2 linked regions of the Mus musculus genome follow. Each later gene encodes a partner of the first gene's protein in a complex. Links are inferred from orthologs where the notes say so. Each region holds a gene or a part of one and is shown in the gene's direction. Other genes may lie near its edges.

Region 1 (4,426 bases):
GGAACTGGCCACATTTCCAGTACTGACACACGCTCTGGAGACAATAGTCTGAATATGTCATGCCCAGTATGCCCTCTTCCCGATGCCTATGTCGCACAGCTGACCAAGCCATGACAACCATTTTGGAAAGAGAGGAAAGCGTCCTAGACAACCGAATCAATTGGCTTTTCAAAGGCAGTACTAGAAAATGCCAGTTACTCTAGAGGGCATCAAAAGAACTTATGAGTGCTATGCCTCAAAAAGGAAAAAAAAATCAATATAAAGATAAGTTCTGCCTTAGTCCAAACAAAGCAAGGGGAAAGAGAGACAGTCTGTGGATAGATACCCCACAAAAATTCGGATCCAAGAAAGGATCTTGACTGCTCTATATAGACAGGATGCGGGTGTCCCAGGCTCGACAAAGAGTTCCTATCTCATCCCAAGTCTCAGTTCCACGTCTGGAAACCGCAAGAGGTTTCGAGGCTGAGACCCTAAATTCATAGAACCCCCCCCCCCACCGCGCGCGCGACTGCAACTAGTGTCCGACAGTCCCGAGCCTCCGCAGCGGCGCAGACGCGGTTCAGATTCAGCCCAAGGTCCGCGGAATGCTGCAGTACAAAACCACCAGGGCTCCAGGCCGAGACTCACCAGCCTCTGAGCTGGCCATACTGCCAGGAGAGGTCGCGGCCGGACTCCAAGACGAGAGCGCGGGCGACGGTGTCCCAGAAGGGTCGAACTCGGTCGAGCCGACGGGAGGAGGAGGGGGCAGACACTAGCGAGCGGGGAAGGAGGGGTGGAAGAGGGAGGGACGTTAAAACGGCTTCTCGACGCTGATTGGACAGCAGAGGAGCACTTCCTCGCAGCACGCGCTGAGGCGGCAGTTTGCGGGCTCCAGATACCATTCCCCGCGGTCAAGATCCCGCTTACGGGTTCTCAGATCGGCGGGCAGGGCAGCCAGGTCACCCAGCAGCCCGGCCGATCTCCCCGGGGGCGTTGGAGCCGCGCTTCCGGTGAGTTGGTGGTTTGGTGTTCCTCCGCCGAGAGACCAAGCGAGGAAGTAGTGCGATCCGCCTTGCCCTGGGTCCGATCACGTGATGAGGCCAAGCTCCGCCTCCCTGGTCTCCTTCGGTTATGGGCGTGGGGGGAGTCTGTGGAGACGTAAACATCTTCAAGTAGAGTCGGTGGAATGGCTGGCGCTGGCCATTTTAAGGACCGTCTGGCCACGGGGAAGCAGCTTGTCTGAGGTGTAGCGAGACGAGAGACGGCGGTGTCGCCAAAAGGGCGTCGGGGCGAGGCATTCTAGTGGTGTCACCCAGTCGTGAAGCGAGTAATAAACGGGCGCCGGGGAGGGAGCGCCCGCCCGCGGAGGGGGAGGGGCGAGAACATGGCGGATTCCGGAACCCGGGCGGGCGGGCGTTGAGGGCCTCCGAGCCAGGGGGGCGGGGTGATTAGGTCATAGAGCGGCTCCCAGCGTGCTTTGCGGCGAGGAGGCGGTCCAGACTATAAAAGCGGCTGCCGGGACGCAGCCGGCACCTCATTCATTTCCATCGGTCCTTGCCCTCGCAGCTCCGGCCCTCGACACCACCGGCCCCTCCGCTGGTGACGCCCCCGCAGAGGCTTCGCCGTCGCCGAGGCCTTCTCTCCGCGACTCGTCGCCGCAGGATTCTACTTTCACTGGGTTCCGCCCGCACACCGCCACCATTGACGCCATGTCGAGTTATTCTAGTGACCGAGACCGCGGCCGGGATCGAGGGTGAGTGTGACAAGAGACCTGTCAGGCCGGGTGGGGGATGGGAGAGCGGCGCGGCCGAAGGCTCGCCTTCCCAACCGACCTTTAGATTTTTTTTTTTCCCTTCCTGAAAGGAGGCCTGGCTTTTGTCACACGTCCGGTTAAAAGCCGTTAAAGGCTACGCTTCGGGTAATGGCGTTCAACCTTTTTTTTTTTTTTTTTTTTTTTTTTTTTGGTCCGGGAGGGTGGGCCGGGACCCGGGGCGGCCCGGCGACCTCGCGGCTGTTGAGGGAAACCCGGAGGAGTGTTTTCGGTCGGGAAGCGCCGCGCCTTTGAGGCGGTTCCCGGCGTCGTTTGCGCAATCTTTCGTTGGGTTGTTTTTTGAGGGGGGCCCCCCCTTCCGGTATCCCCGGGGGAAAGAAGGGGCGCTTTCGAGGTCCCCTGTGCCCCGTTGGGTGGCCTACGCCGGCGGATTCGGCCATGTGGCGGAGCCGCAGCCACAAAATGCCGGCCTCGGACATGGCGGCGGCGCCTTTGTTACCCCGCCCGGCGGAGGAGCTCAAAATGGCAGCGGCGAGAAAATGTGGCGCAGAGAGAAATGCGAGACAAAGAAGGAAGCGCCGCCCCAGCGGGAACGCCGCCCGGGCCGGGACTCCTCCCCCGGTTGCTTTCGGCTCCTCCTCTTTTTCTCCCTCGCGTTATATAATTTTGTTACCTTGGTTTGCAGCCGTTCGCGGCGTTTCCCTAGACTCGGCTCGCTGGCGCCTGTTCCCCTTTCTACCCTGTCCGCCGTGCTAGCCTCGTTCAGCTGCTCACATTGCCTTTGCGGCCCCGTTATTTCTTTAAGATTAGGTCCTTTGATGAAAACGGGCAAAAATAACCTTCCTAAGCTCCTCCCTTCTTGCCCAGCTCCTAGACGCTAATGCCTAAGCTCTGTGGGGAGAGAAGATGGAGGCTCTAACTCTTGTCCTTGTAATCTGGTCAGATGTTTGGGCTGTTTGCCACCTGATAAACCCACGATGTTTATTTGGCCTCAGTAGAGTGTGCTTGGGACTTCAGAAAAGAAACGCTGCCAGTTGTGGCTGTCCTTAGAATGACAGTTGGGAAGGATTCCAGAAGCACACTTTGGCTCTATCAAAAGGCAGCAGATGAAATGTGAGGGCAAACCTGTTCATGCAGTATCTTTCACAATGTGCCCAACTTTTGTTTTGTGTGTGTGTAGGTTTGGTGCACCTCGATTTGGAGGGAGTAGAACAGGACCCCTCTCTGGAAAGAAGTTTGGAAATCCTGGGGAGAAACTAGTTAAAAAGAAGTGGAATCTTGATGAGCTGCCCAAATTTGAGAAGAATTTTTATCAAGAACACCCTGATTTGGCAAGGCGCACCGCAGTGAGTTTATAAATGTGGCTTCTTCATGCTGTAACTCAGTAACTGCTTCTAGTCAATTAGATGGAAATGTAATAGGTGCCTTGCAAATGGAGAGTTGCTTGTGGTGCACTTCCATTGAATTTTTCTTGTGATATATGGTGCCCTATTTTAATCCTGTCACTGGGGAAACAGGTTTAGCAGTCTATTGGGCTTCATAGAGACTCAATTTTCATTTAAATAAGTATTATAAATTAATTATTAATTTTTGTTGCCAAGTAGAGTTCTTATTTATGGGTCCAGATTTTTAGAAATAAGTATGTTTAAAAGTTTATTGAGCTATAGGGAGCATGGCAGAAGTCTGAGGCTGAGATAATTTGTTTTTCAGCAAGAGGTAGATACATACAGAAGAAGCAAGGAAATTACAGTTAGAGGTCACAACTGTCCAAAACCTGTTCTGAATTTTTATGAAGCAAACTTTCCTGGTAAGGACTAACTTTCATCTTTATCCTTTCATTTCCCCCCCCCCCCTTGCTTATAAATTTGTTTTTAAAATGGTATTGTTGGTTGCAGCGAATGTCATGGATGTGATTGCAAGGCAGAACTTTACTGAACCCACTGCTATTCAAGCTCAGGGCTGGCCAGTTGCTCTCAGTGGATTGGATATGGTTGGAGTAGCTCAGACTGGATCTGGGAAAACATTATCTGTAAGTCTAGGAAAACTTGATAAATTGTGGCAGAGGTGACCTTAGATATATAACTATTTTAATCCAATTTCTATTATTTTTACTCTTCAATAGTATTTGCTGCCTGCCATTGTACACATAAACCACCAGCCATTCCTAGAGAGAGGTGATGGGCCTATTGTAAGTATTATCTTAAGTTTCCCACCATATTTGCTAAAACTCCTTTGACTTTCATATAGGGAATATAGGGTTGCCAGTATAAACTAGCCACTTAAAATTAGTATCCAGCCCAGGCGTGGTGGCACACACCTTTAATCACAGCACTGGGGAGGCAGAGGCAGGTGGATTTCTGAGTTCCAGGACAGCCAGAGCTACACAAAGAAACCCTATCTCGGGGGGAAAAAATTAGTATCCAAAGACAGTTAGTTGGATCAGCCAATTATAGATACTTGTCATGAGCCTGATCAAGATCAACTACCACAAGGAGAGACCAACTTGCAAAAGTTGCCTTCTGGTTTCTCCATGTGCTTCCACACACAAAAATTTTATCCTGAGAATAGTGCCTGGGAGGTAGAAACTGGAGAATTCAGGAGACACTGTCTCAAAAAAAAGTCTTATGACCACCTGAATTCTAATTCCCAACACACGAAGACATAGGGTCTTAGTAA
Region 2 (4,503 bases), about 19 Mb from region 1:
GCTCCCATGCTTTTATGACTAACAACAACAAAAAACTGTTTTTTTTCCCCTGAACTATTTAGATTTTAAAATCGCTTAAAAATTGGATATATTATGCTCTCCTCTTCTTTACTGTGACTTCTGGTGAGAGTAGTCAAATTTGCAGTAGATCTCCCAAAATTCAACAAGTTCTTCAGGCATTTTGCCTAGAAACCTTATACATCACTTCTGCCTCTCCCCCACTCTCACTGTCCTTGATTTCTCCAGCCAGTCTTAATATTTAATGGTTTCATTTTAAGCAGCCCCACATCCTTGGACTGTTGTAAATAAATGATAACATCCAGGGGCAGCAATGACTCAGTGACTCATCTGGTTAAGGTGCTCCTCCCAAGCCTGACGTTTCATCTCGGGGGCTCACATGGCATGAGTGGTGAACTGCACCTTATTTTCTGACTTTCACACATGGGCCATGGCATGACCCACCACCCCAAGACACAATATGCATAACATAAAAATTAAAAACTAAAAATTACAGTATAAAGAATCACCCTTAGAACCTGTGGGGATCCGACTTAGCATATTTATTAGTGATAGGGTCGACACAGCTCTGGCTGGCCTTGAACCCTGAAATTCCGCTTCCCAAAAACTTCAAGAGGCATTTACCACTACGCCTGGCTGTCTCTATCCAATCATGAAAGGCTCTGGTTTTAGCTGGGAGGTAGTGACTTTGATCCCAGCACTCAGAAGGCAGGAACTCCAGGACAGCCAGGGGTACACAGAGAAATCGTGTCTCAAACAAAACAACCCCAAAACAAAAACAACACCAAGAAAACGTTTTGTTTTTCAATATTTTTAATAGAAAGGGTTTCCCTGAATGTCCCGGGCTAACCTTTCCCCCCGCCTCCCCTTTGGTTTTTCGAGACAGGGCTTCTCTGTATAGCCCTGGCTGTCCTGGAACTCACTCAGTAGACCAGGCTGGCCTCGAACTCTGAAATCCGCCTGCCTCTGCCTCCCGAGCGCTGGGATTAAAGGCATGCGCCACCACTGCCTGGCTCCGGGATAACCTTTACTAGAACTGTGTATAACAGGGTAGGCTGGACCCTCCTTGCCTCAGCTTCCGGAGTGATAGGATTTCAGGCACACAAGCTTAAGTCCAGATTGGTTTGCTTTTATTATAATTCGAGTTCATTAACAACACTACAAGGCCGTATGATTTCACACGTAAGGCTCTTCTATTCCCGTTATTACAAAACAAAGAAGCAAAATTGTGGTATCCAATGCAAGAATCCTTTTGCAGATAATCTTGGCAAAATAAACAAATAAATAAATAATCTCCCTAGACCAGCACAGAACCGGGATCTCGGCTCTGCAGTTAAACTGTTTTATCACTCTTCCTTTTTCATCCTTAGAAAGGAGGAAGAGGAAAACTCAAGGCACAGTTTTCATTTAGATAGATATGGAGGATCCGTCTAGACACTTTAACTAAGATGCAGCCCACCGCAGGTTCCCAGAGGCAGAAGCCACACTGCTCCGCTTCGGCTTTTAAATGAAATCACCTGCAACTCCCGCCGGCGGCACCGAAGTGCAGAAGATGCCCAGGTTTCCGGAGCAACAGCTCAGCGTCATCTATCTCCGCCCCGCGGCGCCTTTCCCGCCAAAGGCCGTTACCACCGCGGAGCATGGTGGGACACGCTTGCAAGATAGGTTTCACCCAATCTTTTTAGAGCGCCGAGCTGCTTTCAGAGAGGGTCTACCCCCGAGGTGGCCGACGATTCTGGACTCAGTGGGGATTAATAATAACCGCTTTAACCAGAGCATGTGATTTTTACTAAACGCCTGGACGTTCCAGCAGCCAGTCAACCCGCCAGGACGCGAGGGACTTTTTCCCCTCCGTGCGGAGGGTGACGTCGCGCGTGCGCGAGCGTGCTTCTCAGCACCCGTTAGAGGCGTGCGCCTGCGCACTGGGAGGGACGAGCCGCTTCCTCCGGCTTCTCTTCCTCCCCCTCCCCCCCGGTATCAGTGCGCCGAGCTGATAAAGGCGCCATTTTGGAGCGGCCGCGGGAGACGTGGTGCCGCTGAGGGCTCGCTCTGCCGTACGCTAGGCTTGGTAGGAAGGCCTCTTTTTTTTTTTTTCCTTCCCCCCCCCCGAGTCCGCGCTTTTCGTCGTCGCCGCCGCCGCCATGTCGGGAGGTGGTGTGATCCGTGGCCCGGCGGGGAACAACGACTGCCGCATCTACGTGGGTAACCTACCTCCGGATATCCGAACCAAGGACATCGAGGACGTGTTTTACAAATACGGCGCCATCCGCGACATCGACCTGAAGAACCGCCGCGGGGGACCGCCCTTCGCCTTCGTTGAGTTCGAGGACCCGCGGTGAGGCAGCGTGGGGCGTGCGCGGCCTTGAGGAGATAGCGTGGAGGAGTTGGGGAAGGCTCGGAGGCCTTGGAACATAATGGGGGGAGAGGAGGGGCTCCGAGGCGCTATCGCCCCTGCAGGAGTCGAGTCAGGAGAGCCGAGAGGCGGCGCGTTGTCTCCGGTGGCCGGCCGCCTCGGACGTCCCCCCTACCCCCCGAGCCCATGCGCAGCCCCCGGAGCGGGAAACCGAGGCGCTGAGGGCCGGCGAGGTGGTCGGGAGCCTCTGCCCGGCGTGGTGCTGGGTGGGGGAAGGGCCGGCCCTATTATGCGGCGCATGTGGGGCTCCGTGTGGCCCCGTGGGTGCGCATGTGCGCTGTGGCCGCGGCTTTTCACCCCCGGAGCGGGCGAACGAGCTGGGTCCGGCGGCTCCCTCCCCTCATCACCCCCCCCTTTCGCTTTCTGTGATCACACGCAGAGACGCGGAAGATGCGGTGTACGGTCGCGACGGCTACGACTACGACGGCTACCGGCTGCGGGTAGAGTTTCCCCGAAGCGGCCGCGGGACCGGCCGAGGCGGCGGCGGGGGTGGAGGCGGCGGCGCCCCGAGAGGCCGCTATGGCCCGCCGTCCAGGCGGTCCGAGAACAGAGTGGTTGTCTCTGGTGAGTTGACTTCGTGCGGGTTAAAATCTTTTTCCCGCATGACTGCTTTGAGTACTGCAAGGTTTTTGTTATTGTTGTTTTTGTTTTGTTTTACACACGGGGTCTTGGACTACTTCGGTCTTTGGGATGAATTTAGTAAATAAAGATTACTGTGGTGGTGATTTACCCAAATTAGGTTGCAGTACTAGCCTATGAAGATCCTTTACAAATAAATTTGGACTCTGGATCTGACTCTTACCAGCTCTTTACCTGGAAACACTTAAGTACAATCATTAAGTATTTTAAAATAATCCTTGTTCGAATGTACTTTACACGTTTGCCGTGGGACAGGATGAGTAGTATTAAATTAGGGGGAATCGCTTTTTCAGGACTGCCTCCGAGTGGAAGCTGGCAGGACTTAAAGGATCACATGCGTGAGGCAGGTGATGTATGTTACGCTGATGTTTACCGAGATGGCACTGGTGTCGTGGAGTTTGTACGGAAAGAAGATATGACGTATGCAGTTCGAAAACTGGATAACACTAAGTTTAGATCTCACGAGGTAGGTTATACACTTATTCTTTTTTTTGGCCAGAATTGGATACAGTTTTCTTAACAGTGGAATTTGAAGGTAAGGATACAGGCAAGGGTGTTCACGTAAATTACCAGAGCCCTGATCTGTCTTTGTATTCGTTCAGCTTGTCTGAAGACAGGTGAAAGCTTAGATCTTTCAATGGAAAGTTCTGTCTATCCAATAGGGAGAAACTGCCTACATCCGGGTTAAAGTTGATGGGCCCAGAAGTCCAAGTTATGGAAGATCTCGATCTCGAAGCCGTAGTCGTAGCAGAAGCCGTAGCAGAAGCAACAGCAGGAGTCGCAGTTACTCCCCAAGGAGAAGCAGAGGATCACCACGCTATTCTCCCCGTCATAGCAGATCTCGCTCTCGTACATAAGATGATTGGTGACACTTTTTGTAGAACCCATGTTGTATACAGTTTTCCTTTACTCAGTACAATCTTTTCATTTTTTTAATTCAAGCTGTTTTGTTCAGAATGGGCTAAAGTGTTGAATTGCATTCTTGTGTAATATCCCCTTGCTCCTAACATCTACATTCCCCTCATGTCTTTGGTAACTTGTATTTTAAGTGATGTCATAGACAGGATTGTTTAAATTTAGTTAATTTCCATGCTCTTCAGACTGTGATATTATGTAAATGTCTATTCTGCTCTGGTTTGTGTGAAATGGGATGTTGGGGGTGTTTGTGGTTATCTTACTTGGGGGAAGTTCTTATGTTTATCTTGCTTTTCATGTGTCTTTCTGTAGACATATCTGAAGAGATGGATTAAGAATGCTTTGGATTAAGGATTGTGGAGCACATTTCAATCATTTTAGGATTGTCAAAAGGAGGATTGAGGAGGATCAGATCAATAATGGAGGCAATGGTATGACTCCAAGTGCTATTGTCACAGATGAAATTGGCAGTATTGACCTTATACTAGAAGGCGAGGGTTAAAAATTTATCTACCTTA

What was found. Proteins that work in one complex are often made in the same cells at the same time.
Region 2: Ddx5 (region 1) and Srsf1 share a complex: the UniProt entries of both Homo sapiens proteins name them as parts of the ribonucleoprotein complex. The link is inferred for Mus musculus from reciprocal best matches to the Homo sapiens genes DDX5 and SRSF1.

The regions. Positions count from the first base shown.
Region 1 is NC_000077.6:106,785,579-106,790,004, reverse strand, and holds the start of Ddx5 (probable ATP-dependent RNA helicase DDX5), read left to right. Parts: upstream 1-1,510; 5' UTR 1,511-1,688; coding exon 1,689-1,732; intron 1,733-2,930; coding exon 2,931-3,096; intron 3,097-3,460; coding exon 3,461-3,557; intron 3,558-3,645; coding exon 3,646-3,779; intron 3,780-3,872; coding exon 3,873-3,938; intron 3,939-4,426. Other genes in the region: Cep95 (centrosomal protein of 95 kDa), read right to left, coding at 628-646. UniProt on the Homo sapiens protein: Involved in the alternative regulation of pre-mRNA splicing; its RNA helicase activity is necessary for increasing tau exon 10 inclusion and occurs in a RBM4-dependent manner. Binds to the tau pre-mRNA in the stem-loop region downstream of exon 10.
Region 2 is NC_000077.6:88,045,680-88,050,182, forward strand, and holds the start of Srsf1 (serine/arginine-rich splicing factor 1), read left to right. Parts: upstream 1-1,693; 5' UTR 1,694-2,159; coding exon 2,160-2,353; intron 2,354-2,810; coding exon 2,811-2,995; intron 2,996-3,363; coding exon 3,364-3,536; coding exon of another isoform or gene 3,537-3,590; exon of another isoform or gene 3,591-3,732; coding exon 3,733-3,927; 3' UTR 3,928-4,503. UniProt on the Homo sapiens protein: Plays a role in preventing exon skipping, ensuring the accuracy of splicing and regulating alternative splicing.